Elephas maximus indicus: one gene and its partners. The protein of the gene in region 2 purifies or fractionates together with the protein of the main gene of each other region. This does not show direct contact. Links are inferred from orthologs where the notes say so. Each region holds a gene or a part of one and is shown on either strand. Other genes may lie near its edges. The genes, in order: ZNF687, ZMYND8, MTA2 and TSPYL1.

Region 1 (7,664 bases), on a different chromosome or scaffold from region 2:
GTTTAAGGGTTCATTCATGCCAGCATGAACGATATTTTTTTTTGGATCTTTTGGGGTCTACAGAGATCTGAAAAGCCATATGTACAAGGGGGCAGTGACTTAAGCAAGCCACTAAACCCACTGCCGTCGAGTTGATTCCAGTGCATAGCGACCCTACAGGACAGAGCAGAACTGCCCCACGGAGTTTCCAAGGAGCGCCTGGCTGATCTGAACTGCCGACCTGCTGGTTAGCAACCGTAGCACTTAACCACTACGCCACCAGGGTTTCCGACTTAACCAAAGATGTAAGCAACTCCTTGTTACAATTTTATCACCGGTATGCTGTATAAGCATGTTCCTTCACTATCTTACTCTCGCTGTTTGAAAGAAGGGACAAGTAATCCATACACCATAGGGTCATTTTGAGCATGATATGAAATTGTAAATGTTAAGCATTAGAACCCCGAGAGTGGTTTATTATTACAGCAGCTGGGTCAGATTAGAACATGTCAGGTCAAGGAAGAGCTGAGAAGGAACAGGCACTGGAAATCCACGGCCAGGGTCACAGACAACAGCCAAGGGTCATTTAAGGTCAAGTCTAGGGCAGCTGGGGTCTTCACTGACACCTAGAGATCTAGATTGATCAACAGACCAACTGGAGAAATGGACTCAGGGAAATCACTCAAGAGACCAAGAAGGAAATAAGACAAAGAAAGAGAAAGAGACAAAGAGGAGACAGAGGGGAAAATGGTGACAGCAGCCTGGTCACAAGGGCCCCAGCCTGTGCCTCTCCAGTCACAAACACCTGCTGCTCGCTCACGGACCTTCCCCAGAGTACCTTGACTCTCCCTAGCCCGCCCTCCCTGCCTCCCCACCCTGCTCTCTCAGGGCTAAAACTCCAGGGTGCAGCCTTATCCAGCAATCACAACGGAGAAATCCAGGCTCCTTTGCTCCTCTAATTTCAGCTCTGAGCTCCTCACCCCAGTTTATCTCCTAACTCAAACTCCTCACCCTTTTAATTTTCCTTTGGCAACGGTTGCCCAGTAAGTCTCACCCAACCCCAACCTAGCCCAATACAAAAAAAAAAAAAAAAAAATCCCACAAGACTTATGAGGCACTAAACTCCTACAAGAGTTTCTATACCAAAAACCACCAAACCCAGTGCCATCAAGTCTTTTCCAACTCATAGCGACCCTATAGGACAGAGTAGAACTGCCCCCGTAGAGTTTCCAAGCAGCGCCTGGTGGATTCAACTGCCAACCCTTTGGTTAGCAGCCGTAGCACTTAACCACTACGCCACCAGGGTTTCCAGAGTTTCTATAGCCAGGAAAAAGTAACTGAAGAAGTCCCTCTCCTTATATATTCCCTGCCCAAGAGAGCCATTTCCCAGGGCCAATTCTCTCACCTTTTTCCAGCCTTTAGACTGTAACTGGAGAAAGTCCCAGCAGGTGGCAGCTGGCACTGCCAGGACCAAGGTGGGGGTGGGAGGAGGGGGTACCAACTAGAGGCAGAAAGAGGAATCCTCCCTCCACCCCACCTCCACCCCCACTCCAATTCTGCAGACTTTGGGTTTAAACAAAGCCCTTCATCCCTTACCTCTACCCTGAAGGGCCTCCAAGGCCCTGCTCTGCCTGGCTCTCTCCAGACCTGGAGAGGCCTGTACAAGCTTCCACTCAGGCCTTCAGAAAAGTGGGCTGGTGAGCACAGACCAGTGGGGACTATGCGAAAACACCTGCTAACTTGCCTCCCCTGATCACCTCCTCCTTTGGCGTCCAAGCAACTTAGAGGTCATCCGATGGCCACCCACAGCGGACAGACAACCAAGCAGCCCAGCTCAAGGCCAAGGAGGCTACCTCACCCCGAGGCCCAGGCTCAGGCCAGGCCTTTCTGCGACTGCTGAGCCCTATCTTTTGGGCTCCTGCCCCCCACCCCCTTTCCCTATGTTCTTCCCCAAAAACCAAAGGAAGAAGCTGAACAGGAAGAGGGTGAACTGGCTCGGGTCCGGTGGGGGCTCCAAAGCCCTCTGCCCGGGCCTGGGGCCTACGCTGACAGGGGAGGGCGAGGGGCCGGCGGCCAGGGGGCGATTAGGCTGCAGCCACGCTGGGCAGCGGGCGGAATTAAGTCCCTGCCATCTGCCGAGGGCCGACGCCGTGAGCACGCCTGGGGTGGTGAGGAGGGGGCGGGTTGTGTGCAGAAAAAGCTACAGGAGAAACTGAGGCGCGCAGCGTTTCACCCCCACCGACGTGCGAAAGGACGGGCCGCAGACAAGCCAGGCCCGTTGGGAGTTGCGGCGCAGCACCCCCGAGCCCAGGACGACGGGTGGGAGGGTGAGGAAAGGAAACCGGGAGGGGACCCTCTGCGGGACCCGCCGCTCTCCGGCCGGGGTCCGTCCCAACTCCCACCTCCTGCCCTCCCCACCCTGCGCAGCGCAGCTCCGCGCCGCCCGGGCTCCTGGAGGCTTTCCCGAAAGTGGGGAGTGATCAGAGGCGCGCGGCGGGCCCGGGGCGCGAGCCTGACTCCTGCCTGGGCCGGGGCGCTAACCCGCGCCCAGTCGGGGTGCAGCTCGGCTCCGGCCTGGCCCAGCTCCCCGCCCCCACCCGCAGGCACGGACACCATTTTAGGTCGCGACATCCCGCAGCCTCCAGTCCCCGGGCCGCGCTCCGGGCGCCGCTCGGGCCGGGGGCTCCAGGACTTGGGGTCCCCAACCCTCCCTCCATGTTTACCCGGCTAGGGGCTGTGCTTTCAACAGGCTGGGAGTTTCGCCCATCCGCCCCAAAGGATGGAGGCGGCGCCAGGGCCTTCCTACAGGGCGCCCCAGGGGGGCGGTGCGGGGAAGGGGGCAGTTAACTAGGTGGGGGAGGGGCGGGGGCATTTACCCGCCCCCCCAGGGGGCGGGACCAAGAGCGGGTATCTACCCCAGGCAAGCTTACTTGCTCCGCTCCTAGTGCGGGCCGAGACCCGGCGGTCTCTGCCCTGCTCCAGCCGCAGCCACCGCCGCCGCCGCCGCCGCCCTCCCCGCGGCCGCCGCTACTTCCTGCTTCTCTCCGGTTCAGCCGCCCCCCTCCCTCAGCTCCCTCCGCGCTCCGGGTCTGGGCTGCCCGTTTCCACACTCGCCATTGGGTAGCACCTCCGTCGATCAGTGCTGCGTCCCGCCCAGCCCCGGGCAGGATTGGCCTTAAGTACTGCCGCTCGTAACCAGAGCCGCACAGTCCGCTCATCCTCATTGGGCAAGGTGCCTAGTCCCTCTGAAGATGCCGCTCCCCATTGGTTGTTCCGAGGCCCAACTGCCCCATCCGTGCACCTCAAAAACTATTGGTAGCTGCCGCTGTCGCTTAGAAAAAGCCAACCTGATTCCCTGCTTTCCTACTGGAGGAGGTGACTATCCCAGATGCATCTCCGCCCCCTCACTCCCCATTGGTGGCGATCCTTTAAGCCTGCAGTTCACTTATCCATATTGAGAAAACTCTCAGCTTCGATTTGGTGGGCACTTTGAGGAGAGCCTTGTCGACTCTGAGTGGGGCCCGGATGTGTAGATCTGTTTGCACAGTTTTCTCAATCGTGCCGCTCATGAAATCACAGACTGAGACGTCACCCAAAACATTACGTCATCTGGTTGACCATTTCCTCGCGGTTTTCCACTGTCTAAACTATCCTACAGTCCGGAAAGACATGGGTGTTCATGCCCCTAGCCCCGCGCGCGCCGGTTCCCGGGGATGGCATCACCCATAGCTCCGCCCCCTGCGGGAGGGCATGGATTGAGGGCGGGATTGGAGTGTGGAAGGAGAGAGGACCTGAAACCTGGGACCAGTGCGGAGACCGGAAGTGGGGAAGAGGTGACGTTGGAGTGCTGGCGTGGCCTGGGCCATTTCCAAAGGGGCATACTTAAAGTGACGTACTGACAGACCTCCTAAGCATGGAACGGGGGACCCCCCACACGCACACATCCATTTCCCGTTTAAGAGCTCTCTTTTCCCCACCTCTAGCACGGGAGGGAGGGGTCCGAGGCAGAGTTTTCCCGCGCTTTGTTGCCCCGCCTCCTGGAGGCGGGGGAAGGGGCGGAGTTACTCCGAAAATGAATCGCCTTGACTGTCTCTATGGAGAAGTCACTGAATTCATCTGCAAGCCCAGTCTACCCTGCCTACCAGCCTCCGCAGCCAGCCGCGAAGGTAGTGGCTCACACCCCCGGGCCTGGGGATTCAAGGTGGTTTTGTTGCCCCGCTTGTGGACCGGGGCGGGGGGGTCCCCAGGACCACTGCACCCAGGACTCTTAGGCGCGCCCTGAAAGTTTACGTGGGTAATGGAGACTGCATTGAGGTGTGAATCAGAGCTCCTGGATCAGACTCTTGGGGCCACCGAGCAAGTCGCTGAACCTCCCTGAACTTATTTTCTCATGAGTAAAATGGGGATTATAATACCCACTTGACAATTGTTTTTGTAAGGATTAAAAGAGTTTAAATGTAAAAGAGCTTTATAAAATGATTGGCAAATGAGATTAGCAGCCCCCCATGCCCACGCCGCTGCCTTCTTTCGTGAGGTTGGCTGCGGTTGTTCCAGATTACAGACTTTTGCCCCTGAACAAGGAACTAGAGCCCCTTACTGGCTATAGCCGACCAGCATTCCATTCCCACCTCCTCCTCTGGGTGTTCCTGTATGGAATAATAATGATTACTCCTCATATACTACTCAGATAATGCAGGAATCAAATGGACTATATCTGTGGAGAGAAGCAATGGAAAAGCTCAATATAATCAGTCAGAACAAGGCCGGGGCCAATTGCAGAACAGACCATCAATTACTCATATGCAAGTTTAAGTTGAAGCTGAAGAAAATTAAAACAAGTCCACAAGAATGAAAATATGACCTGGAGTATATTCCATCTGAAATTGGAGACCATCTCAAGAGTAGATTTGACACCCTGCAAGCGACCATCTAAGATACATCTACCGATCCCATCCTAGCTGGAGCAAATGAATGAAGAAAGCCAAAGACACAAGGGAAAGATTAGTACAAAGGACTACTGGACCACAACTACCACAACCTCTGCCAGACTGAGCCCAGAACAACTGGTGCCCAGCGTCCACCACTGACCACTCTGACAGCGATCACAATAGAAGGTCACTAACAAAGTAGGAGAAAAATGTAGAACAAAATTCAAATTCACACACACACAAAAAGACCAGACCTTGTATGCACACACATGTTTATTGCAGCACTGTTTACAATAGCAAAAAGATGGAAGCAACCAAGGTACCCATCAATGGATGAATGGATAAATAAATTATGGTATATTCACACAATGGAATACTACGCTTCGATAAAGAACAATGAGGAATCTGTGAAACATTTCATAACATGGAGGAACCTGGAAGGCATTATGCTGAGTGAAATCAGTCAGTTGCAAAAGGACAAATATTGTATAAGACCACTATTATAAGAACTTGAGAAATAGTTTAAACTGAGAAGAAAACATTCTTTTGTGGTTACAAGAAAGGGGATGGAGGGAGGGTGGGAGAGGGGCATTCACTAACTAGATAGTAGATAAGAACTACTTTAGGTGAAGAGAGAGACAGCACATAATACAGGAAAGGTCAGCACAACTGGACTAAACCAAAAGGAAAGAAGTTTCCTGAATAAACTGAATGCTTCAAAGGCCAGCGTAGCAGGGCCAGGGACTGGGGACCATGGTTTCAGGGGACATCTAAGTCAATTGACATAATAAAATCTATTAACAAAACATTCTGCATCCGACTTTGAAGAGTGGCTTCTGGGGTCTTAAACACTAGCAAGCAGCCATCTAAGATGCATCAATTGGTCTCAAACCACCTGGAACAAAGGAGAATGAAGAACACCAAGGACACAAGGTGATTACGAGCCCAAGAGGCAGAAAGGGCCGCAAGAACCAGTGACTACATCATCCTGAGACCAGAAGAACTAGATGGTGCCTGGCTACAACCAAGGACTGCCCTGACACGGAACACAACAGAGAACCCCTGAGGGAGCAGGAGAGCAGTGGGATGCAGACCCCAAATTCTCATAAGACCATACTTAATGGTCTGACTGAGACTAGAAGGACCCCAGTGGTCATGGCCCCCAGACCTTCTGTTGGCCCAGGACAGAAACCATTCCCGAAGCCAACTCTTCAGACATGGATTGGACTGGACAATGGTTTGGAGAGGAATGCTAGTGAGGAGGGAGCTTCTTGGATCAGGTGGACACTTGAGACTATGTTGGCATCTCCTGCCTGGAGGGGAGATGAGAGGGTGGAGGTGTTAGAAGCTGGTGAAATGGACATGAAAAGAGAGAGTGGAGGGAGAGAGCGGGCTGTCTCATTAGGGGGAGAGTAATTGGGAGTGTGTAGCAAGGCGTATATGGGTTTTTGTGTGAGAGACTTATTTGTAAACTTTCACTTAAAGCACAATAAAAATTATATAAAAAAAAAAAAGACCAGACTTGCTGGCCTGACACAGACTGGAGAAACCCCAAGAGTATGGCCCGCAGATACCATTTTAACCTAGTAGTGAAGTCACTCCCGAGGCTCATCCTTCAGCCAAAGATTAGACAGGTCTATAAGGGAAGCAATAACACATGTAAGGAACATGCATCATATTTCAATCATATATACAAGACTAAATGGACAATGGACACACCAGCCCAAAAACAAAGATGAGAACTCAGGAAGGGGCAGGAAAACTAGACGAATGGAAACAGGGAACCCCAGGTAGAAATGGGGAGAATGTGGACAAATTATGGGATTGCCAACCAACGTCACAAAACAATCTGTGCATTGTTTAATGAGAAACTAATTTGCTCTAAACTTTCACCTAAAGCACGATAAAAAATACAGATTTGACACACTGAACACTAACGACCAAAAACCAGAAGAGTTGTGGGATAACATCAAGAGCACCAAACATGAAGAAAGCAAAAGGTCATTAAAAAGACAGGAAAGAAAAGATCAAAATGGATGTCAGAAGAGTCCCTGAAACTTGCTTTTGAACATAGAGCCGCTAAAGCAAATGGAAGAAATGATGAAAAGAGCTAAAGAGAAGATTTTGAAGGGTGGCTCGAGAAGACAAAGTATTATAATGACATATGCAAAGACCTGAAGTTAGAAAGCCAAAAAAGAAGAACGCGTTCAGCATTTCTCAAGCCGAAAGAACTGAAGAAAAAATTCAAGCCTAGAGTTGCAATTTTGAAGGATTCCATGGGCAAAATATTGAATAATGTAGGGAACATCAAAAAAAAAAAAAAAAAAAAAAAGGTGGAAGAAATAGTCACCATACCAAAAAGACTTGGATGATGTTCAACCATTTCAGGAGGTAGCATATGATCAAGAACTGATGGTAATGAAGAAAGATGTTCAAGCCACACTGAAGGCACTGGCAAAAAACAAGACTCAAGGAATTGACGGAATACCAATTGAGATGTTTCAACAATCAGATGCAGTGCTGGAGGTGCCCGCTCATCTATGCCAAGAAATTTGGAAGACAGCTACCTGGCTAACCAACTGGAAGAGATTCATATTTGTCCCATTCCAAAGGCAACCCAACAGAATGTGGAAATTATCAAAAAATATCATTAATATCACACACAAGTAAAATTTTGCTGAAGATAATTCAAAAGTGGTTATAGCATTACATCGACACGAAACTGCCAGAAATTCAAGCCAGATTCAGAAGAGGACG
Region 2 (6,949 bases):
AGACAGTTAACACCAAGGGAGGACAATCCGAGTCTGCAGAGGAGAAACACAAGGAAAACACTCATTTAACCAATGCACAGGATACTCACAAATTAGATTTCTGTCCACCCCAACAGGGCCCTGAGAAGGAACAAAGGGGTTTTGCAAAACTCACTTTCCGGGCCCGAACTAAGAGCCTAAGAGTGGATAATATCATTTATGTTAAGGAGAACACAGGTCTGAGGACTGGCCTCAGGACTTTTCTGCCGGCATGAGTGGAGAGTTTCAAGGTGACTGCTTTTTTAGCTCCAGGGGTGAAAGGAGGGCATGGTGCCCACCGCTGTGCCAGAGCCAGGACGGGATCCTGGCGTCGCGCCGGCCGGTAGGTAGGTAATCTTGATGGGGACAGACAGCCTGGCAGCGCTGCTAGCTGCAGAGGCTGACATGGCTCCTGCAGGCTTGTTTGTCTGGAAGGAAAGTGGGGAGGAGGGGGAAGGGCAATTGCAGCCTTAGCAACCTGAAGCCAAGGGTGAATCCTCACTGGGTGTTGTATTTTATGGGCAACCAAAGGGATTCTAAACATATTCCCTTAATAAATCTCCGCTGGGGGAGACCGAAGGCACCTTTGCATTTTTTTTTTTTTTAATTCCCACGGTCAACCAGAGGCAAAACTGGATCTAGGGTTCCTATGCTGACAAATGATTGCTGCCTCTCCCCCAGGAGAGAAGAGGAAAGAAGGCAAGAGAAACAAAGACAGCACACAAGTAAAGTGGCTGGACTTTAAAAACCTACCTTTGCCTTCAGGGTTTTCTGGGTTATTGTCATCCCGCTTTTTAAAAAATGATTTATTTTCCCCCTCTCCTCTTTAAGAACTGAAGCAGTTTCCCCACTGTTCTCCAAGGGAAAGAAAGGGGGAATGTCTTGTTTAAAAGAAAAACGGGATACAAGAGAGAAGAGAGAAAAAAAAGCTATTGTTTTCATCCCTAATTTATAATCCAAGAGGCTCCATTGTTTTTCTCTTTCTGACTCAAATCTTTGAACTGTTAATTATAAAAGTAACTGGACTTGGCTCCAGTGGGCTATGTTCATGCTCAGCAATTAGAAAAACTCTGCAGAAAGTTTACTGAGTGATTATATATAATTAATTCCTAGTTACAGACTGAACGCTGACCATTTTCTGGAGCTAATAAGAGCAATTGCTTCCCCTCCCCCACGTGAACGCCACTTAATTTCCCAAAGCAGAAAAGTGAATCCATCCAGGAGGGTCTTGAAGGAGAAAAAAAAAAAGAGAGAGAGGAATCAAAAGCTCCAGTGTGTCTGCGTTTGTTCCTTGCAGCTGTGCATCCTCTTTGGGGACTGAGGAGGCAGAAGGGAAAGAAAGAAAAACAGCCCAGCATTGTTCCTCCGTCTGCAACTTACAAACGTGGCGGAGAGACCATTCTACCTGGATGTAAAAAGGAAAGGGGAGGGGTGCCCTAGGAATCAGGGAGACTCTCTTGAGTTTGGATCTGCTTTTCCTAAAAGGAACAAAGACGGTAGAAACTTCCAGAAGGCCCATTCTCAGTTCAGCCACTGCAATTGTCAATCTTTAACCTTTCCTCCAAGTCTATTGGTTCAAAAGCTAGAGAGAGGAACCCCATTGGGCTGCTCTCTGGGAGCCGGCCTTGCTGCCCCTACCTAGCCCTGCTGCAATGCAGACATTTTTTTTTTTTTCCCCCTTTAGTGCAAATGGAAAACAATGCTACTTTGAAGGCAATTAACATTTTTTTTTTTTTTTACAGACTCATACTTGGTGGTAGCCACAGTACCAGAGGAAAGTGGCTAGCTTGGTCCAGGGCTGAGAACTTGCTGGGACCCTGGACTTCTGAAAACAAATCTTTGCTTTCCAAACCTGTGGGAGCCATTTTAATGCAAGCTTTTAGAGGACAAATGCCTTGTCCTTAAGTTGCCTTCCAGCCCAACAATATTACGCAAACGTTGAAGGCACCAAACCAGAAGTCTTGTGATTAGATATTGCTTCTAAGGAGGCCACAAGAACCTCGATACATAATTTCCATTTACAGAAGATAAGAACAAAGGAAAAAAGCTAAGTGTCTCAACTTACTTGTACGGGGGTCTGTTCAATTTCAAGTATTGAACATCATGAACTGCCTGCATTTTTATTTCAAGAAGCTGGCCTGCCTCACACAGTCTTTTCTCAGCTTAGAATTTGGTACATTTCTCCTTATTTCCAACTGGTGCTAAAAGGTGGGCTGGTGGACACTAACTTAAAAGAAAAGGAGTATTGTCTCCATAAAGTTGGTGTAACACAGCAACTAAATATATTTCCAGCATTTACAGTCACACTGGATTGGTGGCCAAGCTGGAAATTTTATGGAGTGAGCTTCTAGGGAAATTCTGAAGATAACGCTAAACAAGAGTCTACTTTTTTCACTCTAAGTTCTAGCTACAGCATTAAGCAATGAGGAGAAATGTGAAAAGTGAGAAATAATAAGTAAAGCCAAGCTTGCATACTGATGTGTGGGTCAGGCTTGGCAAAGGGCCGGAGTCTAAGGAGAGTCCTGAATCAAACTGAGTTTGGTCCTGGGGGGCATTTCTGCACTACACGTAAGTATCCTAAAACCTAAGTACTGACACCACCACCTCCAACTCCTGCCCCACCAATGTTTAGGGCTCTGTGACTATAAGAACAAACACATTTATTTACATTTCACAAGCAGATCACCTACCCACAGTTCTCATATCCAAACAACCCCAATTAAAGGTCTAGAATCAAGTCACAATGAACTGAACATTTCTCCCCTGGCTAAGGGTAAACAGGAAGTGTAATCTTCAGTCCTATCTGTAGGTTATCTGGAAAAACAGTGGATTCAAACAGTCACCTAAAATCCAAGACACTATTAATAAAAAGTCCTCATTTTGTTCGTGGGAATAAAGCCCCCAGTTGCTGGAGCCAAGGCCCCCTGATTGCAAGCAGACCCCCAATGTTTCCAAAACTCTTTATCCATGGTCACAGAGGAAATGGATTGCTTTACTTACCCAACAAATGTTCAAGCAACCGTCTCATTTTTCCACAGTTAGGAAGAAGAGAACAGGCTGGCAGATTTGGGACTTGATCAAAAAGGAAATTTTTTTAAACAGTTACATGGTATTATTAAACACACACACACACACACAACACAACAACTGAATATGGAATGCTGTCATGAGCCACAGACATGATTTTATTTCCTCTGCACTCTGTCACAGGGGAGGGCAGAGGATGATACAATGTAAAAAAAAAAAAAAAGGGAAAGGAAAAATGAATACAAGGACAAAAGATACATTAGTTCATTGAAAACCATGCAAGAGTAGAAAGCCAAGGGATTCAAAAAGAGTCCTCACAGATTTATTGCAGGATGTTGTCCAACACCCCACCACCACCACCACTCCCCCATCCCTACTCCAAAAACTTCCTCCAACGCCTAGAAAACACTTTAAGAAACATTTGCTGGCTGTAGGCTGGCTTGCAGAAGAACACTCTGAACTAACCTAAGTCAGGAAAAAAGGCTGAACAAGGTAGTTTCAAGGGAAGAAGCCCTGAATGAAAAGACCATACTGCAGACACCACCACCCACCTAGGCCCCAGGAGGGCTCCCATCTCGCCTTAGCATGCTCTGCTGAGGGTTTGGTTCTTTTAAAAACACACATCCTGGCTTGTCAGAACTTCAGTCAAGCCTTCCCAGAACCTCTTTGGAGAGGTAAACTTGCCTGCTTTGCTGTCTGCCATGAGCTCCCCTTGGAGGGAAGCCTGCTTGCTTACCTTCCATATTCTTCCCCCAGCAGGCATGTGACACAAGAGACAATAATACAGGGAGAGAAACTGCTGAGAGAGAGAAAGAGAGAGAAGAGGGGGGAAAAAAGCTTCTTTTTTGACATACCAGGATCTAGCTTCAAACTATTCCCAAAACACCTTGCCCTAGTGAAAGGCAAGGTGTGCCAGGCCCTTGCCAGTTTGCAAAATCAAGCTATGGCTAATGGCTACTGAGCCATGTGACCCAAGGCAACATTAAAAAAAAAAAAAAAAAAAATCTCTCTAAACAGTTCCAAGTTAACCTAAGTGCTCAGGGGGGAGTGTGGCACGGCCAGCCACAGAGAAATCACACTGCTCGCCCACAATTCGGATGTCTCAGAGGGAGGGGGAAAAAAGATGGTTAAAAAGTCGAGCTTACCTCTGTGGATGCATTGTTAACACTGTGTAATGTCAATACTTATAAAACATGGAGGACAGGCTCCTAGTTCTCACACAGAAAAAGGGTTTGGCACTTCGGCTTGATGATCTGGCCGCCTAATAAAAGCTCATCCCCGATTGGCTGCCCGGGCAAATCGGAGTGTAAAGCCGCCCCGGATTGGCTGAAACACTTCCTGAGCGATTATCTTTGTGAGGCTCTGGTGAGCAAGAGCCATCCTGTGCATAGAAAAAGACAGGCTAAGCTAGGCCTTTTGCAGCAAGAAAAACTTGGGAAAGGGGCCCCCAGACGCACTTCTCCCACACCCTGGCTAGATTTCCCGGCACGGGCAAGCCAGTGCAGCCAGCCTGACCTGCTCCAGCAAAGCCTGAGGCCCGGATGCCACTGGAAAGAGAGTTTTTGGGGTGAGCTGAAGGGCTCATCCTCACCTGCCTCCACAGAAACGGCCCTTTTCTGGGAGGAAGGCTGGTCTTTTTCTAGAACAATGCAGCAGAATGGTTCTCCAAGGGGGAAGCTGAGGAGGGGGGAGCTCCAGGAAACAACCCAAGGGGGCAAGAAAGCAAGGCTTGAGGCAGGCCTCTGAGGAGCTGAGGGAAAACAGACAGGCAAACCCCAAGAAATCATTAAAAAGCAGCCATGGCTTCTCAGAGGAAAGAGGATTCTGCTGGTGAGAGAAGGAAGGGAAGAGAGTGGTCAAGTTTGCACAGTCATGGTCAAAACGCCTCCTGGAAAAGCAGGCCAGAGAGCCATTTTCCCGGCGGGGAATCTAACATCTCACCCCCTCAGCCAGTACAAAAAGGAAAACCAAAATGGGTTCCTGCCTCCCTGCCAAGCTGCCAAGAGGGGGCCGCCTCTCAGTCCTTACCCTAAGAAAAGCCAAACGCGCTCCTAGCAGGCCACATGCCTAGTCTACAAACTTCCCTTCCCCTCCCGGCCCCCTCCCCCACCGCTGAGGCCTGCTAAACCTGTCAGTTAAACAAAAATCTGACTTCCGTATTAGTCTGCGATGCCTTCAGCTTCCTGCCTATTAACCCTCTCTCAGACTCTGGGCCTGGCTGGGAAAAACTAGGCCCTGAGATAGCAGAGAAGGCCTGTGGAAAAATACCAGCTGCAGCTCTCCCGGCAGATGCAGAAAGAGAGAGAGAGAGTGGTGTCTCTTGCCTTTGCTTCCCAAGGAGGCGTGTACCTTCTGAATCCAGGGCACAGGCAGTGCCTCTCGGTCTGAGAAGCCATTTAAATCCACAGGGAGAAAGAGAGATGTCAAACTCAGCGAGGGAACAAGAAACCCCATTATACATCAGGCCTACACCCTCAGGTTCGCCCTTTCTGGCACAATCACCCCTGTATGTATGTTCTTGGGGAACTGAGCCCACGGTGGGCAGCCAAATCCCATGAGCTTTATAAGGATTCTTGCTTCAATTTATTTCCACAGAGAACGGCTTCTTTTCGTCCCCTAAGGCAGATGGAACAGCTATTTCACACACGGCCCCACACTTGGCAGCCCCCCCATCTCTGGCACTGCTCCCCAGTAAAATATTAACTACTTTCTCAGAGCTGCTTATAACTCTACCGATTTCAATAGTATTAGAAGGTCTTTGGCAGTTTCCTCCCTAAAGCTCCCTTTGTAGTTAGGCTGTAGCCTGAGAAAGAAAAGGCAAATCCAAAAGGACCTTAAAATGTCCACCCTATCTTTCCTCTTTTTTTTTTTTTTTTTAACGACAAGGTGCTTAACTAACAAGATTTTTTAAAACAGGAAGCTGGAACAACAGAGGTGACGCAGCCATATGCCACGAGGTAAAGCTACAGAGCAAAAAAGTCTCCTCTGTCCTAAAATTAGCACCTGTGGGCTTCCTAGCCCCACACTGTTCCCACAAAGAAAGAGAACAGCTCATCTCTTGTTCTCCCTGTTGCCCCCCACCCCCGACCCCATGGACAACAGAAGCTCACCGCATGCACATAAATTCTTGCTAGCTGGGAATTATATCCAGCAGACTTAGGGACATGCCAGGAATTGAAACACACAACCGCAGGGCAGGAACCAGGCTTTGTGAAAGGGGACAGGGTTTTGTTGGATTTTAGGCTGCAAAGACCAAGATGCAGGGAGGGACAGCTCCACCAAGACCTGGCCTGACAAAGGTCTAGCACTCCAGACAACAGGCCAGGCCTCACCACAAGGCGGGGAGCCTACTCTTCCTGGGGATGGGCACGTGCATAAAGAAATCAAATGGGGGGAGTGCTGAGAGGCGGAGGCCAGAGCTAATGAGCCTGTGCTCTCTCCTGTGTGGGCATACCACCACCATCCCATATTGGATACTGTTTGTCTCTGCGGGCGCTGCTTGTGGGGGAAGGTACAGGACTGTGAGATCGTGGCAGATTTTGTGTGCAACTCCACGGCCCTATCAGGAAATGGAATACGCGGCTGGTGCCCGCGGTAGATTTTAACCCAGGGATTAAGCTTGTTGCCTAAGCAGCTGCAGCATCCTCCCCCTCCCTCCCTCCCTCTGATCACTTGATCACTTGAAATGTTTTCTGGGGCAAAGAGCAGGAAGCTGCTGGCTTATTCTGGCAGCCCTGCTCTGTTTGAGGAATGCTGCTGGCATCCGGGTAGGTCTGAGGTTATCTGGGAAACGGCAATTGGGACGGAGACAAAGGTATGGTGGCAGATGGAATCCTGGGAGGGATAGGATTGAAAAGGCAGCCTGAGGCAAGCCTCCTAAAGACCACTCCTGGGCTTGATGGAA
Region 3 (7,471 bases), on a different chromosome or scaffold from region 2:
ACCAGTGCCAAAACCCTCCTCCCCAAGGAGCTGCAGCTTGCCCTCAAACGTTGGTGGAAAGGGTTAACTTGGCTGGGAGCCATCCAAAGGGGGAGGGGCAGAAAAGCCTCAGGCCCCGGCTCATTGGCGCATTGTTTCCAACCTCAGGGAGAAGGGCACCCCCTCCCAGGCTCCGCCCCTCCCCTATGTGCTCCGGAAACCGGTGCTAAGGCAAGGGGACCACACCCCCTGCACCCCTTCTGATTGGACAAGGCCAAGGTCAGCCCCTGCCAGATGGCCCTGGAAACCCCAAAGGGACCAGGGAACTTGGTAAACCAAGCTCTTCATTAACCCATTCATGCCCAAAGCAGCCTGAAAACAGGAAAATAATCTAGTAAGGGAAAAGAAAACCAAAGCAAGGAAAAAAAAAAAAAAGCTAAGGAAAACAGAAAACCCAGAAGCATATATATATATACACATATATACACATACATACAAATATACACATATACACACATACACATATGTATACATATACACATATATGACAGCACTGGGTTATATACATATATACACATATATACACATATACATACATACATAATCATATATATGTAAAGATGAAAGCTTAAAGAAGGAAAATTAGGCAAAAAGAAAACAGAACGATGTAAAATGGCGTAGAGAAGGAAACATAAGAGAAAAAGTACAAGAAACTTTCCTGCCATCTTCCTTTCTCCTAGCTTCCCATTCTCTCCTCCAGTGTATTCTCACCACCTTGTGATCACAAGATGAGCCTCCTTCCCTGTTCTGCAGGCCGGCACTTACAGCCTCTTCCTCTTCACCTTGCCCTTCTCAGCCACTACCCACTGTCCCAACGTAGCCAAAGCTGTCCCAAGGGTTTGACTTCTCTAAAAGCTCTTCCTCACCCTCTATTTAAATATTACCAACTCTCTCCCACACATACGCTCACATTCACATGTCACACACATCTCATGTTCACACATACACGCTGACCATATTCTCGCTTTCCTTAGCATGGCATGGTCCCTCCACCCTGCTTCCAACACCAACATGTAAAAACAGGCCTCCCTCCACAGACCAGGCATTCTCCCACCCCTAAACTCACACCCGCCTTGGGCATGATACCAGGGGAAGCACGTGCAGGGACATGCCCAGGCCTCAGACCATGGGGTAAGGGAAAAAAGCGCGGGGTTCCGGGTTAAAGACACTCACTGGCATTACTATCAGCCAGGCTGTTGAGGCTACTAGAAATGTCCCTTCGCCGGAAAAGACAGACAACCTTTGCTTCCACATTTCCGTTTGCAGTCTGGGGGGAAAAAAGTGGCAGTGAAAACCGGTCATTTGAACACAGAACTTCACAAAGACTAAAGACAAAATACGCTTCTAAAGGATCCTAGAAATGCCAATATTCAACGACAGCCTTCTAAATCCCTTTCTTTTGTCCCCAAGAGATAGAACAGTAAAGTCCCCACCAAGCTCTCAATAAGCCTTTCCTGAAAGCACTGAATGAATGAATATGAATGAGTACTTAAGCTAGGGTCCTCTCTTCATCTGAAGTTAGACCCCTCAGAAGAAAGAGCCCGTTACGGGGTGGGGGCGCAGAGAGCCTCTGCTCACTCACCTTGTTGAGCTCCTCAATCCGTCTAACCAGGTAAGGATTGCTGGAGGAGTTCTCAAAATAGACGTAATCTGGGGGGAGGGAAGGGGGAGAGCCGGGAAAAATCAGTGGAGGAGATAGATAGGAGCGCCAGAGCCCCAGAGTGGGAGGAGAGAAAGTCCACCTGAGTAAGCCAAAAGGAGAAAAGAGTCCAGATAGAGACTAGGACGCTGAGATGTGGCAGTGGAGAGAATAAGAAAATGGGGACGGCTCCGCACCCCCGCCGCACCTAGTTCCAAAGTCAGATCCTTCGCTCAAAAGTGAGACTTCGCAAAGAGACAAGAAGCAGGGGTTTCCCCGCAGAGCGCACAGCTCCGCGACGGAGTTGCACCCGAGTCTCGGCAAAATGAGCGATTGTTCACTCCAGAGCACAATAGCACCCAAGGACAGGAAACCTCCGGGCGCCCCTCCGCGGAGCCTCCCTCCCTCGTCCCCCCGCAGGTGGCACAGCCGTCGCCCCGACCCCTCGCGCCCCCTGCGTGTCCTGTCAGACCCTTCGGAGCCAGTTTCCCCAGCCCCACTCTCCGACCCGGGGCCCCCGCCGCAGTCCCGAGAGCGCCGTCGGGGCTGCCCCGCAGCCTCTCTCCGGGTCTCGGCGCTCGGCCGCGCCGCGGTCCCCGCACTCTCGCTCCTGGTTCCGGTTCCGGTCCGTGCTCCGGTCCACGCCGCCCCAGACGCGGCTCGCCGCGCCGCCAAGTGCCGAGCCCCTCGGGTCCCGACCCCCAACCCTTCCCGCCCCGGGCCCCACACCCCCCGCGCCCGGTACTCACCCCCCACCCGGTACATGTTGGCCGCCATGGCCGTTCCCGCCGCCGACTCCGGCCGCACAAAGAGGTCCGGGAGGTTCGCTGGGGCAAGGCTCGGCTCGAGGAGAAGCCCCGGGCGCGGGGCTGGAGCTTCGCGGAAGTCTCGGTCGGGCCCGTGCAACCGGCGCCTCCGCCGCTTCAGCCGTCGCGGTTCATCCCGGCCCGCGCTGTCGCCGCCGCTACCGCCTCACGCCCGGGACGCCGAGGCCGGCGCCGGTCCGGTCGGCTTCTTCCGGAACGAGTTCGGCTCTTGCCGGACCAGAGCCAGGCTCCAGCTCCCCCCGCCCTCGCCAAGCCCCACCAGACGTTGGGCCCTGCCGGCCGCCAGGAAGGCTTGCCCTGCCCGCCTCGGGGTTCGCCTCCTTCCGGAATACCTTCGGCCGATCGGTAGAACAAGGCCCCGCGCTCGGCTCAGGTCGGAGAGCGAGACCCCAGAGATCGGCTACTTCCGGAAAGCGTTCGGCTCCTTTCGGCCAACCGCAGCCCGGTGCTCGGTGATTTCCGTTACAGCTCGGCCCCTCCTCCGAGGGCGGGAGAGGAGTTGGGCTTAACTCTCTCCTCGCCGGAGCCCTGAGGCCGCCAAAGGCTTGTGCGGCTTCGCTCTTCACGCGTCTATTTGCAAGCGGCTTTACCTTTTATTTGCATAAATGGCCCACCCTCCCATACCCTCTCCGCAGGCCTCTCCACCCACACAAGGCCCGGAGGCGCCCCAGCCGTGCCCCACAAAAGGACAGGGAAGCCACTTTGGGTTTGGTTTATTGCCCCTCAGCGGTCGGTGGGAGTCGGGGCCCAAGGTGGGACTGTCCGGCTCGGCCAGCGGGTTTCTACAGTGTGCTCGGGGTCCGTTCGCCTCAGGAATGTCTCGAAGTCGAGGCAAGGCTCGGCCCCTGGTCCTGGGGGATGCGGCTGGGGCGGGGGCGCACCGAGAGGCCGGTCGCCTCGGTCCGGCAGCGGTCAGACGTCGAGGGAGGAAGCGGGGGACAGGGATGGGGTTCGCGAGGGCGTGGCGGGCGCCAACCCCGCGCCCAGCACGCGCCACTGGAAGATGCTGGCGTCCTTGCCGCCCAACGAGACGAGGTGCGAGTCGTCGTGCGTGAACCGGACGCTGGTCACGTGGCTGCCGTGGCCCGCGTAGATGCGGCTGGGCGCCTGGCGGGAGGATGCCGAGTTGCAGGGGCGGCGGCCGCCCGGCCCCGGCCCGCCCGGCTCTGGGTCCCGCCCGCCTCACCTTGGCGCGCGCGCACGGGTACTGGAAGAGGTGCACTTTGCAAAAGTCGTCAGCTACGGCCACCACGCGCTCGTTGTGGGAGCGGCACAGGGAGTTGATGTCGGTCCCGTCCGAGCCGTCGGGCCACACGCCTAGCACAGCGGCGGTCCTCAGCCCGGCCCCCCCCCCCCCCCCAGCTGCCACCCACCCACGACCCAACGCGGTACCGTTTCGGGCACTCACGCCACCCACCGGCTGCCTTCCAGGCAATCCTTCCCGGGCCCCAGGACCCCCTGGGGCCTCCCAAGCAGGATCTGCTGGTTTCTTGACCCCCACCCCTGGACAGACACCCAGCATTCTGAGCCCAAGGCGGGCTCCACCTTGTCCTTCCCCCCCGCCCCACCCCACCCGTAGGGTTCCACGCCCCTGCGCTCCTACTCACCGTAAACATGGAAGCCCAGCACGCAGGTGTAGGTGGCCCACTCCCTATCTCGGCTCTCGTAGCGATTCCGCAACAGCTTGCAGCCTGCAGCCACATCCCCTGGGGAGGGGGAGCCCACCCAGCTCAGTCTCACCCTGCCCTCGGCCCAGACAGCGGGAAGATGCCCCGGAAGGCCAGGTTGGAGAGGCTGGCTTGAGGCGGTGGCCCTGTGGTCTGATCATCATGGTAGCCACCTGGCCAGAAGCAACCCTCCCCAGTCTCCTGCTCCTGAGTTCTATCCCTTTCTCCTCAGTTTCTGCTCCCTAGATAAATCAATCTCTCTGCACCTGTCCTGAGAAACTTTTCTGCAGGAATCTTAGTGTATTTTTCAAATCCCTCAAGTTCATGTGGGAACACAATGTAGTATAAAACTATGTTTTTCCAAATCACAAGAAATTTCTCCTGTGTATTATTCTGCCCCCACTTCAGCCTCATCTCCACCTCCCTGTCTGACAGCCTGGAGCTGCCTGGAGCACCCCACCCATTCTCCTTCATCCCCTCCAACCAGGAACCCCCACACACAAGTAACACCCACCTCAGTTACCCTCTCCCCATGCCCTCCCCTGCTGCCCCTCACAGTAAAGAATCTCGTAGTCCCCAGAATTGGACATGATGAAGTTCCCATCCTTGGACCAGTCGAGATGAGTGATGAAGCTGGAGTGACCCTGCAAGCAAGGGTCAAGAGGTTAAAAACGCAGCCACTATTCCTGACCGCCCCGCAAGTCTATCTGCTGTAGCAACACCCCACCCTCTACCCCAGCTTCCTCACCACACAGCGGCCAAAGCGGCTGGACTTGGCGCCATCACTGGAAACGCTATAGATGTAGATCATGTTGTCATGGGAACCAATAGCCAGGTACATCCCATCTGCAAAGACAGTCACTCAGAGAGGAGGAGGCCAGAGAGGGGTCTGGGGCCAGGGTGGGGATGGCTCTCACCTGGGCTGTACCGGACCACAGAGAGCTGCTCATTGCCATCAGTGATATCAGACATGATCTCTCTGGTCTCCGTGTCCAAAACTAGCCACCTGGAAGGGAGGGAGGGAAAGGCAGGGGGTAAGGAGACACCCAGGGAGCTGGCCTGGGCAGGGTGGGAGTTGGCAAATTGGAGACCCTCAGACAAGCCCACAGAAAGGCTGGGATGTAGACAGAGAAACCACCACTGCTTTCCTATGCTGGGAAGTGGGAAAGGGCTAAGCATCCTCTCAGAAAGCAGTCAGGAACTAGAGACCAGGGGCCCACTACAAGGGTCTGTCTTCCCTCCAGTCCCCTCAGCCTGTCTACCCTGGACTGCAACCTCCTCTACTCCCAGCTTGGAGGAGACAACAGTTATTCGAGAGAGCAAGGGAGGCCCAAAGTGTGAGAAGGACTGAGCGGTAGGAACACGCAGTTGGGGCTCCTGAGCAGGCAGTGGTCTGTCTCCTCCACTCCCCCTTTCCAGAACACCTCCCCATACCTCCCTGCTTCCCCTCCCAGGAGTGCTAACTCCCTCTCACCTCCCTGTGTTCAGTCCTACGGCTACAACTGCCCCACTGGGGTGGAAGTCAGCACAGAGACCAGTCTCCTGGAAGGGAGAGAAGCTAAATTCAAGAAGATGCCTTTCAAGTGAGGGAACCAGGACCGACATCTTGTCAAAGCCTCTTCCTCCCAAGGAGGAGATGGGGGAGGAGAGGGCCAATAGGCCTGGGATAGGATAGGGGTGTCACTGGAGCCTAAACAAGGGGTGATACTCAAAATATTTAACTGAGGCCTGCTGCCATCACGATAGAAGGTAATAACTCCCCGCTGTTGGGTGCCTGTTGAATATTGTCTCTGATCCTAGTGGATGCCAACATGGCTACTGTTCTCCCCATTTTACAGACAGGACAACTCAGGCTCAAAGAAGTAAAGTAACTCCCTAAAGCCCAGACACTAGTAGTAGAACTAGGATTTGAACCCAGCAGGTGGCAAACTACAAAGCCAGAAATTAACCTCTTAGTTGCTGAATCAAAGGGAGGTCTTAGAGGTCCCTCAGGGGAGAGGCCAGGGCACTAAAGGCAGCAGCTTGTACCAACCAGTACAGAGGGATTAATACCTTAATAGCCAGCTCAGCTATACCAGTCCAAGCTGGCTACCTCCAAGAGCAGAAAAAAGGAGATTACGGAAATCATAAAGGTCATAAAGGTAGGGGATCCAGGGACACAGGGTTCTACCTTGAGGTCGATGCTCCAGGCCAGCGCGTGGCCCTCCCCATCCCACAGGCAGAGCTGCCGGTCATGGCCACAGGTGAGGAAGCGGTTCTGGGAGGGATGTGTGCAGAGCCCCCAGAGCTCATCCGTGTGACCCTGCAGCAGGGCATGGGGCTGTCACCTTGGCCCCTCCCCAACTGCTCTTCCCTCCCTCCTCCCTTGAGCGCTTGGCCCCCTAACCTGGATGACAGGGGAGAAGCCCTGAGCCAGATCCCCCCTCAGCAATGCATTCTTTGTGGTCCCCACCAGCAACTCCGAGCCAGGCCCCTCAGCAATGGCCCGTACGGCCCCAAAGTGTTCAGGAATCTGCAGAGGGGATGGCAAAAACTCAGGGCCCAGCAGGCCATCCCTCTTGCCCTCCCTCTGTGGCCCCCAGCCCAGCCTTACCTCAGCCTCTTGGAGGGCCACCAGTCCAGGCCCCCACTGTACCAGCCGGCGGTCCCGCCCACCACCACTCAGCACTGTCCCGTCCCGCCGAAGACACAAGGCGAAGATGGAGCCCTCGTGAGCATGGGCCTGGGCCACAATCCCGTAGGTCTCTGTTGGCAAAACCCCAGGTGGGTCATGCTCTTGGGGTGCAGGAGAGTAGGAAGCAGAGGCAGCCTGGGCCATCACAATAGAAGGTAGTAACTCCCTGCTGTTGGGTGCCTATTGAATACTGTCTCTGATCCTAATGGCTGCCAATATGGCTACTATTCTCCCCATTTTACAGACAAAACAATTGAGGCTCAAATGAAGTAATTCTCCAAAGGCCAGACACTAGTAGCAGAACTGGAATTTGAACCCAGGAGGTGGCAAACTCCAAAGTCTCTGCCCTTTCCCTTTGCCACGCCATCCCCTACCCTTAGACCAGCCCCCCAGAGTCCTCCCATGAGCCTCCAAACAGAACTATCAAGTCTCAAGGTAATAAGATGGGAAACCCTCTCCTCTGGTCCCATAGGCTCTCTGCAGTACAGGACTTCCCAGGTGCCACCACCAACCACATACCTTTGGCCCCACCCCTGCCTGGGGTCTTGGAATCTGAGAGGCTCCGCCCCCAGGTAAGAATGTTCCCCTCTGAGTCCCCAGTAAGAATGTCTCCATCAGGGAGGAA
Region 4 (7,939 bases), on a different chromosome or scaffold from region 2:
GTGTCTGACAAGACCAAGTTATTCGAACTATATTTCTAAGGATACAGCTTTAACAGAAATAAGATGACAACTGCTACAAATATTCAAATAAGTTTCTAATATTGTACATGAAAATAAGGTTGATATGCTTCCAAATGTTCCCAACTGAAAGCAAAAGAAAGCCTGTACAGCTCAATTATTCCAGTAGGTAGAAATAAAAGGTAACAGCATTTTATATAATACTGAAATAAAAGGAACAGTATTAATCTTCAACATAAATAAGGTCACATGAAAGAAAGAAAACACCTGAAGTTGCATCGTTTCCTTAAAGAACCCTACTCTAAAAAAAAAAAAAAAAATGTATTATTTAACACTTCAATTCTATCCATCCCAAACCCGAGAAAAGTATTTCTCCTCCCATCACCCCTTTCTCAAAGGCTCTGTCAGTTCAATCTTAATTCTAGCCCCAATTCTGTAGCTCATTTCTGCCTCTGGCCTTTTGTTTGGTTTTTGCTGCTTAGAGCATCCACCACAATCTCTTAAATTCTTCCACTCTAAACTAGAAATCATCTTTCATTGTATTTAGATCTCTCTCTAAAAAGGGAGACATGGAGTTGGAAAGACAGTACAGGGGCAATAAGAATTCTGGCAGTCTATTTTATAGGACAACCTGTTTCTGGAAATGACAGCCAAATTAAACTAAAAAGCCTGCTTTTACAGATTTTTCTCAGCTATCACTTTTTTTTCTTTTAAAGAGAGAGAAAAAATTTACTGCTACCCTGAAACTTATCATGTTCAGGATGAGGAAGGGAAGCAAATAAAGGTACCTAGGTTTTGTGAATTCACTGGTTGAGGTTGAGAAAGCCTGGTACTTGGAAAGGACATCATCCTCACCTTTGCCATGAGGATGACTCTAACCATTTGTGTAAGAGTCAATAGGGTTTCTGGAAGATTGGGGGGTGGGGGTGTGAGGAATTGAGGCATCTTTTGTGTGCTGGCTGGAAACCTGGGTCCACCATCAGTTTTGAAGATCCTTGTTTACTAGAAATCAGACAGTGAGGCTGACAACAGTCTAGAAGGCGATTGTTCAGAAGGCTGCAGCCAAGGAGAGGGGGCATAGTCAGGAGGAGGCAGCAACAGAAAGTGACAAGTAGGAAGACCAATGGAGTCACACAAACCAAGTAGCCCACTGCTGCTCTCCCTTGACATCATTAACACCCAGCCAATTGTCCAGAGGCCATGTGCCTTGACTGCCAGATGCAGAGCAAGGTGTGTAGGAGCCAAAGCTAGAAATGCAGGTGGTGGTAGCCAGAGCCGAGACCCCTGAAATAAAGAAAGTCCAAGCAGTGCAGATAAAGTGTAATCTACGGCATCTAGTGCTTGCCTTGGAGTGGTGTGAACCATGGCCACGCAGTATGTGGTGTTAATACAAGAGCGGGTGAACAGCACAAAGATCGCGTTAAAGTGGAGGAGCATGAAAGTCTCAATCTGGAGGCTGAGAGAGCTGAATGTCCAGAGGGAAGGCGCAGAAAAATCAGCACAGAAAAAGTAGAAAGCATACCCTTGCCGTTGCCCAAGCACAGGTCTGGGGACCCTGTGCTAGAGTATTTCCAAGGACAAAGGTTAACCGGACTGGAATCCAAATGGCCTGGGGATCTCCACTGGCTCCCTTATCAGGCGACGTCTGGGTCTACGGGCCCCTTCACGCAACAAGTAGTACTTAAGTGGATCTGGCCACAGGTCCTCTTTGATAATCTCAGCAATCCTGTCAGATTCTGGAAGGCTATGGTCTGAAAACCAGGTGAAGAAGCTGCAGACTGTATCTTGGTTCCTGCGAATGAAGGACTGGGGTTCATGGCCTCTGCGCCAGATGATGGGAGTGGAAAGAGACACCACTCGGCCTGAGGATCTGACCTCATATTCCTTGACAATCAACTTGTTCCTGAAATACGGGTTTCTTCGGAAGAAGAACTTGAACTTGCAGCCCGTCCTAGGGTGTCTGAGCTCCTTCACCTCCAAATTGGTTATGTACCTTAGCATCTCTGCATCTTGGCCCCTAATCATGGCGGACAGCTGGGGGTGGTTCCGAAAGGCGGTGCCCCAGAAGCCGGGGATATTCTGAATGATGTAGTTCCTGCGCTCCAGGTAGTGTCGACGCATCCGCCCAAACTTCTGCTCCAGCTGGAGGAAGGCTCTGTCAGCCTGAGCATTCACAGTGTCCAGTTCCTGCTGAATGGCCTCTAGAGGGTTCATGCGGAGATCCATATTCAGGGGCCGGGGTCTCGCTTCCTCTATCACTCTATTTTCCTCCACCACTTCCATTTCTTCACCTACTGGCTTCTCTTCCATCTCCATCTCCTCCTCCACTACCTCCTCATCCATTACTCCTTCCTTCTCCATTTTCTCTTCCACCACCTCAGCCCTCTCCTCCTCCACTGCTACTACCAAGATGGCGCACGTTTCAGTCTTTATGTCCTTGGCCTTCGCCCCAACTATCGCCTCAGACTCGGAGCTCCCTTCGTCACAGGTTTCTAGGGCCTTCTTCCCACCAGAGCCGCAAGGCTCTCCACCCAGACAGTCATTTTTCAGGCTGTTATCAGTTGCCACGGAGGCAGAGGCTGCTTCCAGGCTCTCTGTGGGAGGCGGAGCCTCTTCGTTCCCCGCTGTGGTCTCCAGATGACTGCGATCTCCACTGACTCGAATCCGGGAAGTGTCGCCACAGGCCGCGGGGTCCCGGGGTGCGTCCCTCTCCTCTGGAAGCTGGGGTGGTGGGGGCTCAACGGTCTCCAAGCTGCTCTTACCCGTCTCCGCCATCATCGCCGTCGCCTCGGTTTCTCCTCGGAGGCTCTCGCAGTGGTGTTGGTCCGGGTTTCCTGGGGCACGGTCGGGAGTAGTGATGCTGCAGACTTCGGAGACAGGGGTCCTCTCGCCTCCATCCAGGCCGCTCATGTTGATAGCTGGCGACCCTCGGCTAGCGGGCGACGGTTTTCCTCAAAGAAGCCGCACTCCAGACAAACCGGCCGTTCGCACCACCCACTCTTAGTCTCGCGAGCTTTACCTTGGCGATGACGTCAGAGCTGAAGGCTCTCGCCACAGCGCGAGACTCGCTGAGCCCCGGGGTTGGGTCCGCCGCTGCTTATTGTTGAAGTGTACTAGCGTTAATCAGTTGGATTGGTAATTTGGTTTAATAAACGTTGATCTGCACGATATACATAAATATCCAAAATCAAAACCAAACCTCCTGCTTTGAAGTAGATTCTGATTCATAATGACCCTGTAGGACATAGTAGAACTGCCCCATAGGGTTTCCAAGGCTGTAATGTTCACGTAAGCAGACTAACACTTTTTTGCCTCACACAGCGAAGGGACGCAGCGCTTTAACCACTGCACCACCGGGACTCCTTCCCATATATATATAAGGACTACAAAAATGAGGATCTCTGAGTCTGAAGGCAGTGAGACCGTCCCTGCGATGTATCTGGAAACTCCTTCCAGCCTGTAACTGGCACAGCTCTGTACTGCTGTACTACGTCTGAAAACATTATTTTTCCAGTTTTCCTTTTTTTTTAGATAGGGAAATAAATATATCCTTTGTTATTCCATAATGGCTAGAAACAAAAGCTTCACTTTTAACTAAGTGGGTAGCAAATTGTTTCTCTTTTCTCAAGTAGGAGTGGCAGGAAATATAAATTCGAGCCTGTAATGTTACTGGGACAAAAAGCTACTCAGAGGTTTTTTTTTTTCTTCTTCTTCTTCTTTTTTTTTTTTTAAACTACTAAAGTGATACATATTGTTTATTGTCAGTCCTTAATTTATAATCTGCATTCAAGAGATTATGCTGCATAAGGTCTGCAGGCAGGAAGCCAGGAACAATTTGCTAAATGTTACTCCATGGTCTCTTCCTGCAGGAAAGAGGAAATGATCAGCTATTTCCAGCCCCATAAACGGTTAATGTATTTAGTTCTATAAAGTAAGAAAGGTTGACTGTAATGAAGTATCTTTTCAGGGCAATCAGCTCATTGAGTTCATTTGAGAGGGATGTCAGTGTCTTTTTGGATGTTTTAGTTTGTTGGCTTGTGAGAAAAACTGGCATCTTAGAGTTATAAACCAAACCCACTGCTGTCCAGTTGATTGCGACTCATAGCGATGCTATAGGACAGAGTAGAACTGTCCCCTAGGATTTCCAAGGTTGTATATCTTTACGGAACCAGACTCACATCTTTCTTTCCTGGAAGCTGGTGGGTTCGAACAACCGACCTTTCAGTTAGCAGCCCAGCTTGTAACAACTGTGCCAACAAAGCTCGTCAAAGTTGTAAGCTATCAGAGAAATACCGATGGGGGGTGGGGCATCCACCACCGTTTTTATGAGGAAAAAAAGAAAAACAGGTTACAATGTGTTACCACAATGGCCTTGAAGTAGAAAACAAACTTGCAGAACTTAAACATACAGCTAGTTGATTTAAGATGTAGAAATGGCAATTTTCCCCCTATTTTCTTTGCCTGTGTGTTAGGCTGACAAATAATGGCCCCCAAAGATGCCTTCGTTCTAATTCCTAGAACAAAAGGGACTTGGCAGATATCGTTAAGTAAAGGAGTTTGAGATGGGAAGATTATCTTGGATTATCTGAGTGGGCCCAATGTAATCACAAAGGGTCTTATCAGAAGAGTGTCAGAGTCAGAAGGAGATGTGGTGGTGGAAGTAGAGGTCAGGAGAGAGAGAAAAAGATTTGAAATGCTATGCTGTAGGCTTTGAAGATGGAGGAAGGACCAGCAGTCAAGGTATGCAGGCAGCCTCTAAAAAATAAACAAAAATAAATAAAAAATTTTTTTTTTTCTCTAGACACGGGAAAAGGCAAGGAAACTGATTCTCCCCTAGAGCCTCCAGAGGAGTGCAGACCTGTCAACGTACGGATTCTAGGACTTCTAACCTCCAGAACCGTAAGATAATAAACTTGTATTGTTTTAAGCCACTGGGTTGGTGGCAATTTGTTACAGCAGAAATAGAAAACTAGTACAGCTTGGATTGAAGTTTGATTGAATCTGCTTGCCTCAATTTTTTTTTCTAGCAGCAGGTTCTGCAACCTTGCTGGTTGCTTTCCCTGAGATCCTTCCTGACAGCTGGGATTTATAATAGCTTGAGGCACTGGGTGGGAGTCTCTTTTTGGACATTGGGGCCATAAATGTACTTAGGCAATACACAGAAAGACAAAATTAAAACCAAAACCTACAAAAAAAAAAAAAAGATATTTGAGAAAATACTGTGAGCTCTAGGAAGACAGGGACATGGTTTTGTTCACTACTATGTACCAAATGCCTGGCACAGTGTTCCATACGTTATAGAATGTTAAATGAATTAGCAAACAAACAGAACACAGTTTCTCTTGCCTACAACTTTGGGTTTGCAAAAGAGAAGTGAGGGGCACATGAATTGTCACCCCGCTCTCCAGCTGCCACTGGCAAACCAGAGGACCAACCTACTGTCGGCAGTAGCAAACTCCTAGCCGGGAGAATGAATTTCTACATATGTATCAAAGCCTGGGAAAACAATTTGTTTTATAAATAATTTACATTTGTGTGGTCACACTGCATGACAAACAAACTCTGAAAGGTGTTTACATAGCAAAGCAGCTTCCAACTACCAGCACAGCATTTCTCTTCTTCTGATTCTTCTCTCCTTTCTGTGCAAGCGAAGGGAATGATTCCAGGCCTTACTTCTTTTCCCTCTGCAAGAAATGGATAGCTCCTTCGATGCATGGCTGAAATTACTTTTAGTAGAGATAAGAATGAATAATGGAACTTTCCACAAAGCCCACTTCTTTTTAATTGTATGAAATCATCTTCTATCTTGGAATGGAAATAATTTAATTTGCCCTAAAGTGGAAACTTTTACTGCTGTAATATACTTTTATTTTAAAGCAAAAAGTAATAGCAGACTTTCGCCAGTCGTAGAAGATACTGCCTTATTTGTCCAAGTCACCATTAGGATTTCTGAAAGCGTAATTAGCCCTCTAACTGATAATGTTAGGAAAGATTCCAATTACGGATGGTGTTATGTTAATGTAATCAGGAGTCTGCTGAATGTAATGTCCCCAGATAAGGTTAAGACACTTTGGAGAATTGCATCCTACTCTTCCTGTCAGTACATTTGAAAAAGCTGTGATACAGAATATTTCTGTATTTGAATGAATAAATACAGAAAATGAGGAGACACATTTCTTTGAATTTTAATTATCTGAAAATCACAATAGAGAAATGATTATGATTTTAACTCTTCATTATAGATAATGGAGAGCCCAGATTCTAATAACTTTTAATTAAACAACTGCAGAGGAGATGGGCCACTGAGAGGCAGATATTTAGAGGGAAAAGCAGGTTTGCATACTCTGTTCCCTTTCTTTTCCTAAATTATTTTTTGCATGGGTGAAGAAGGTACTTTCTTGGATTTTAACCTGATCCAAGATTTATGTGCTTAGGGGGAATTATTTTACCCTGCAGGAAAAAAAAAATGTGGTTACTATTTGCCACAGATAATTATTGTAAAAGGGATATTACCTGTGGATTTTTTTTTCTTAACATTTTATACCTAAAGTCTTAAGAAGGAGATGTGTGTCTTTTTCATGACACAGGTTAATCTGTTCTTTGAAACGTTATCTTTTTAGGCAGATCCTGTCCATTCTCCAAGACCGAGCATAAACCTGTCTTGCTTTAGAATGTGCTAGGCGTTTTATGTGCATGAAAATTTTAAATTTTATAAAAAAGGAAATAATAACTCTGAAAGGTTAACTAACTTAACCAAGATCATTCCTGTAAAAAAATAAAAATAAAAAATAAATTTTTTTTTTTTTTTTTTCCTGTAGTAACCGCTAAACTCCTCCTCCCTCTCCTAGATGCAGCTTTCCTGGACCGCTCTGCAGTTCACTGAGCTTCCTAGAGCTCTTTTATAAGGTTTACCACGCAATGTAGCACTTAATTATATTCCTCCTCTTAGTGACTGTTCCATACATGTCAGTCTCATCATCCCAGCATTTCAGCATCTTCCCAAGGGATGGGAGCACTGTAGCTTCTTCTGTTGCATGTACTCAGCATAACGATAACAATATCTGATGCTTTGAATAAAATAGAACCTGAAATGATCCTACAAAAACTAACAATGTGTCTACATTGGCATTTTATTTTATTTGAAGGAGGGATATGTATTTTGGCCATGTTTTATACATTACCTTTTAGTACTTTGGAATATAGGCTATATCTGTATATGACAGAGCATTTCTGTGGCAATTGGCAATAAACCAAAAGGTAGTTGAACAGATTGTGGTTCTTCAGGAAAACATCCACCAAAAAAAAAAAAAAAATGACATGAAGCTATTCTCCGTCATATCGAGGAATCATAGAGTCTTCAGCAATGATTTCTCGGGTGGCAATCAGTTTAGCAGACATTATTGTTTTGCAGAAGGATATGTTTCCTGGTTGTAATTAATGATAGCTTTCATTTATTTAAAACCTGTTGGCGTAGTGGTTAAGTGCTACGGCTGCTAACCAGAGGGTCGGCAGTTCAAATCCGCCAGGTGCTCCTCAGAAACTCAGTGGGGCAGTTTTAGTCTGTCCTATAGGGTCGCTATGAGTCGGAACCAACTCGACGGCACTGGGTTTTGGGTTTTTTCATTTATTTACTACTTTTGGTGTACTAGTACTGTTATAAGCATGATCACAGGTATTTTCAGCTTTTATAAGAACCCTGTGGGGTAATGCTATTTTGACTGTTATTTTCCTCACTAGGTAACTGAGGCAAAGAGAGACTGAGACACTTAGCCAAGGTGATGTACAAAGTGACAGACACATGATTTGTACCTAGGAAGTTTGACTCAAGAGGCTTTGCTACCCTCTCTAAAGAAAAAAGTGAAGTCACTTTCTTAAGAGTGTAAGACCATCTTTATTTAATGTTAAATTGACACACAATTTT

The links.
Region 1: the proteins of ZMYND8 (region 2) and ZNF687 purify together in Homo sapiens (affinity purification with mass spectrometry; 4 studies listed by BioGRID and IntAct, with this or other methods). This does not show direct contact. The link is inferred for Elephas maximus indicus from reciprocal best matches to the Homo sapiens genes ZMYND8 and ZNF687.
Region 3: the proteins of ZMYND8 (region 2) and MTA2 purify together in Homo sapiens (affinity purification with mass spectrometry; 3 studies listed by BioGRID and IntAct, with this or other methods). This does not show direct contact. The link is inferred for Elephas maximus indicus from reciprocal best matches to the Homo sapiens genes ZMYND8 and MTA2.
Region 4: the proteins of ZMYND8 (region 2) and TSPYL1 purify together in Homo sapiens (affinity purification with mass spectrometry; 4 studies listed by BioGRID and IntAct, counting the BioPlex papers as one, with this or other methods). This does not show direct contact. The link is inferred for Elephas maximus indicus from reciprocal best matches to the Homo sapiens genes ZMYND8 and TSPYL1.

Annotation. Positions count from the first base shown.
Region 1 is NC_064821.1:185,323,297-185,330,960, reverse strand, and holds the start of ZNF687 (zinc finger protein 687), read right to left. Parts: upstream 3,013-7,664; 5' UTR 2,910-3,012; intron 2,807-2,909; exon of another isoform or gene 2,703-2,806; intron 1-2,702. UniProt on the Homo sapiens protein: May be involved in transcriptional regulation.
Region 2 is NC_064843.1:22,008,096-22,015,044, reverse strand, and holds the start of ZMYND8 (protein kinase C-binding protein 1), read right to left. Parts: upstream 3,002-6,949; 5' UTR 197-3,001; coding exon 90-196; intron 1-89. UniProt on the Homo sapiens protein: Chromatin reader that recognizes dual histone modifications such as histone H3.1 dimethylated at 'Lys-36' and histone H4 acetylated at 'Lys-16' (H3.1K36me2-H4K16ac) and histone H3 methylated at 'Lys-4' and histone H4 acetylated at 'Lys-14' (H3K4me1-H3K14ac).
Region 3 is NC_064825.1:125,784,552-125,792,022, forward strand, and holds the start of MTA2 (metastasis-associated protein MTA2), read right to left. Parts: upstream 3,018-7,471; 5' UTR 2,456-3,017; coding exon 2,428-2,455; intron 1,690-2,427; coding exon 1,622-1,689; intron 1,307-1,621; coding exon 1,213-1,306; intron 1-1,212. Other genes in the region: EML3 (echinoderm microtubule-associated protein-like 3), read right to left, coding at 3,418-3,612, 3,692-3,822, 4,113-4,211, 4,729-4,816, 4,921-5,018, 5,090-5,178, 5,647-5,714, 6,343-6,474 and 3 more. UniProt on the Homo sapiens protein: May function as a transcriptional coregulator. Acts as a component of the histone deacetylase NuRD complex which participates in the remodeling of chromatin.
Region 4 is NC_064819.1:182,883,871-182,891,809, forward strand, and holds the start of TSPYL1 (testis-specific Y-encoded-like protein 1), read right to left. Parts: upstream 3,013-7,939; 5' UTR 2,929-3,012; coding exon 1,603-2,928; 3' UTR 1-1,602.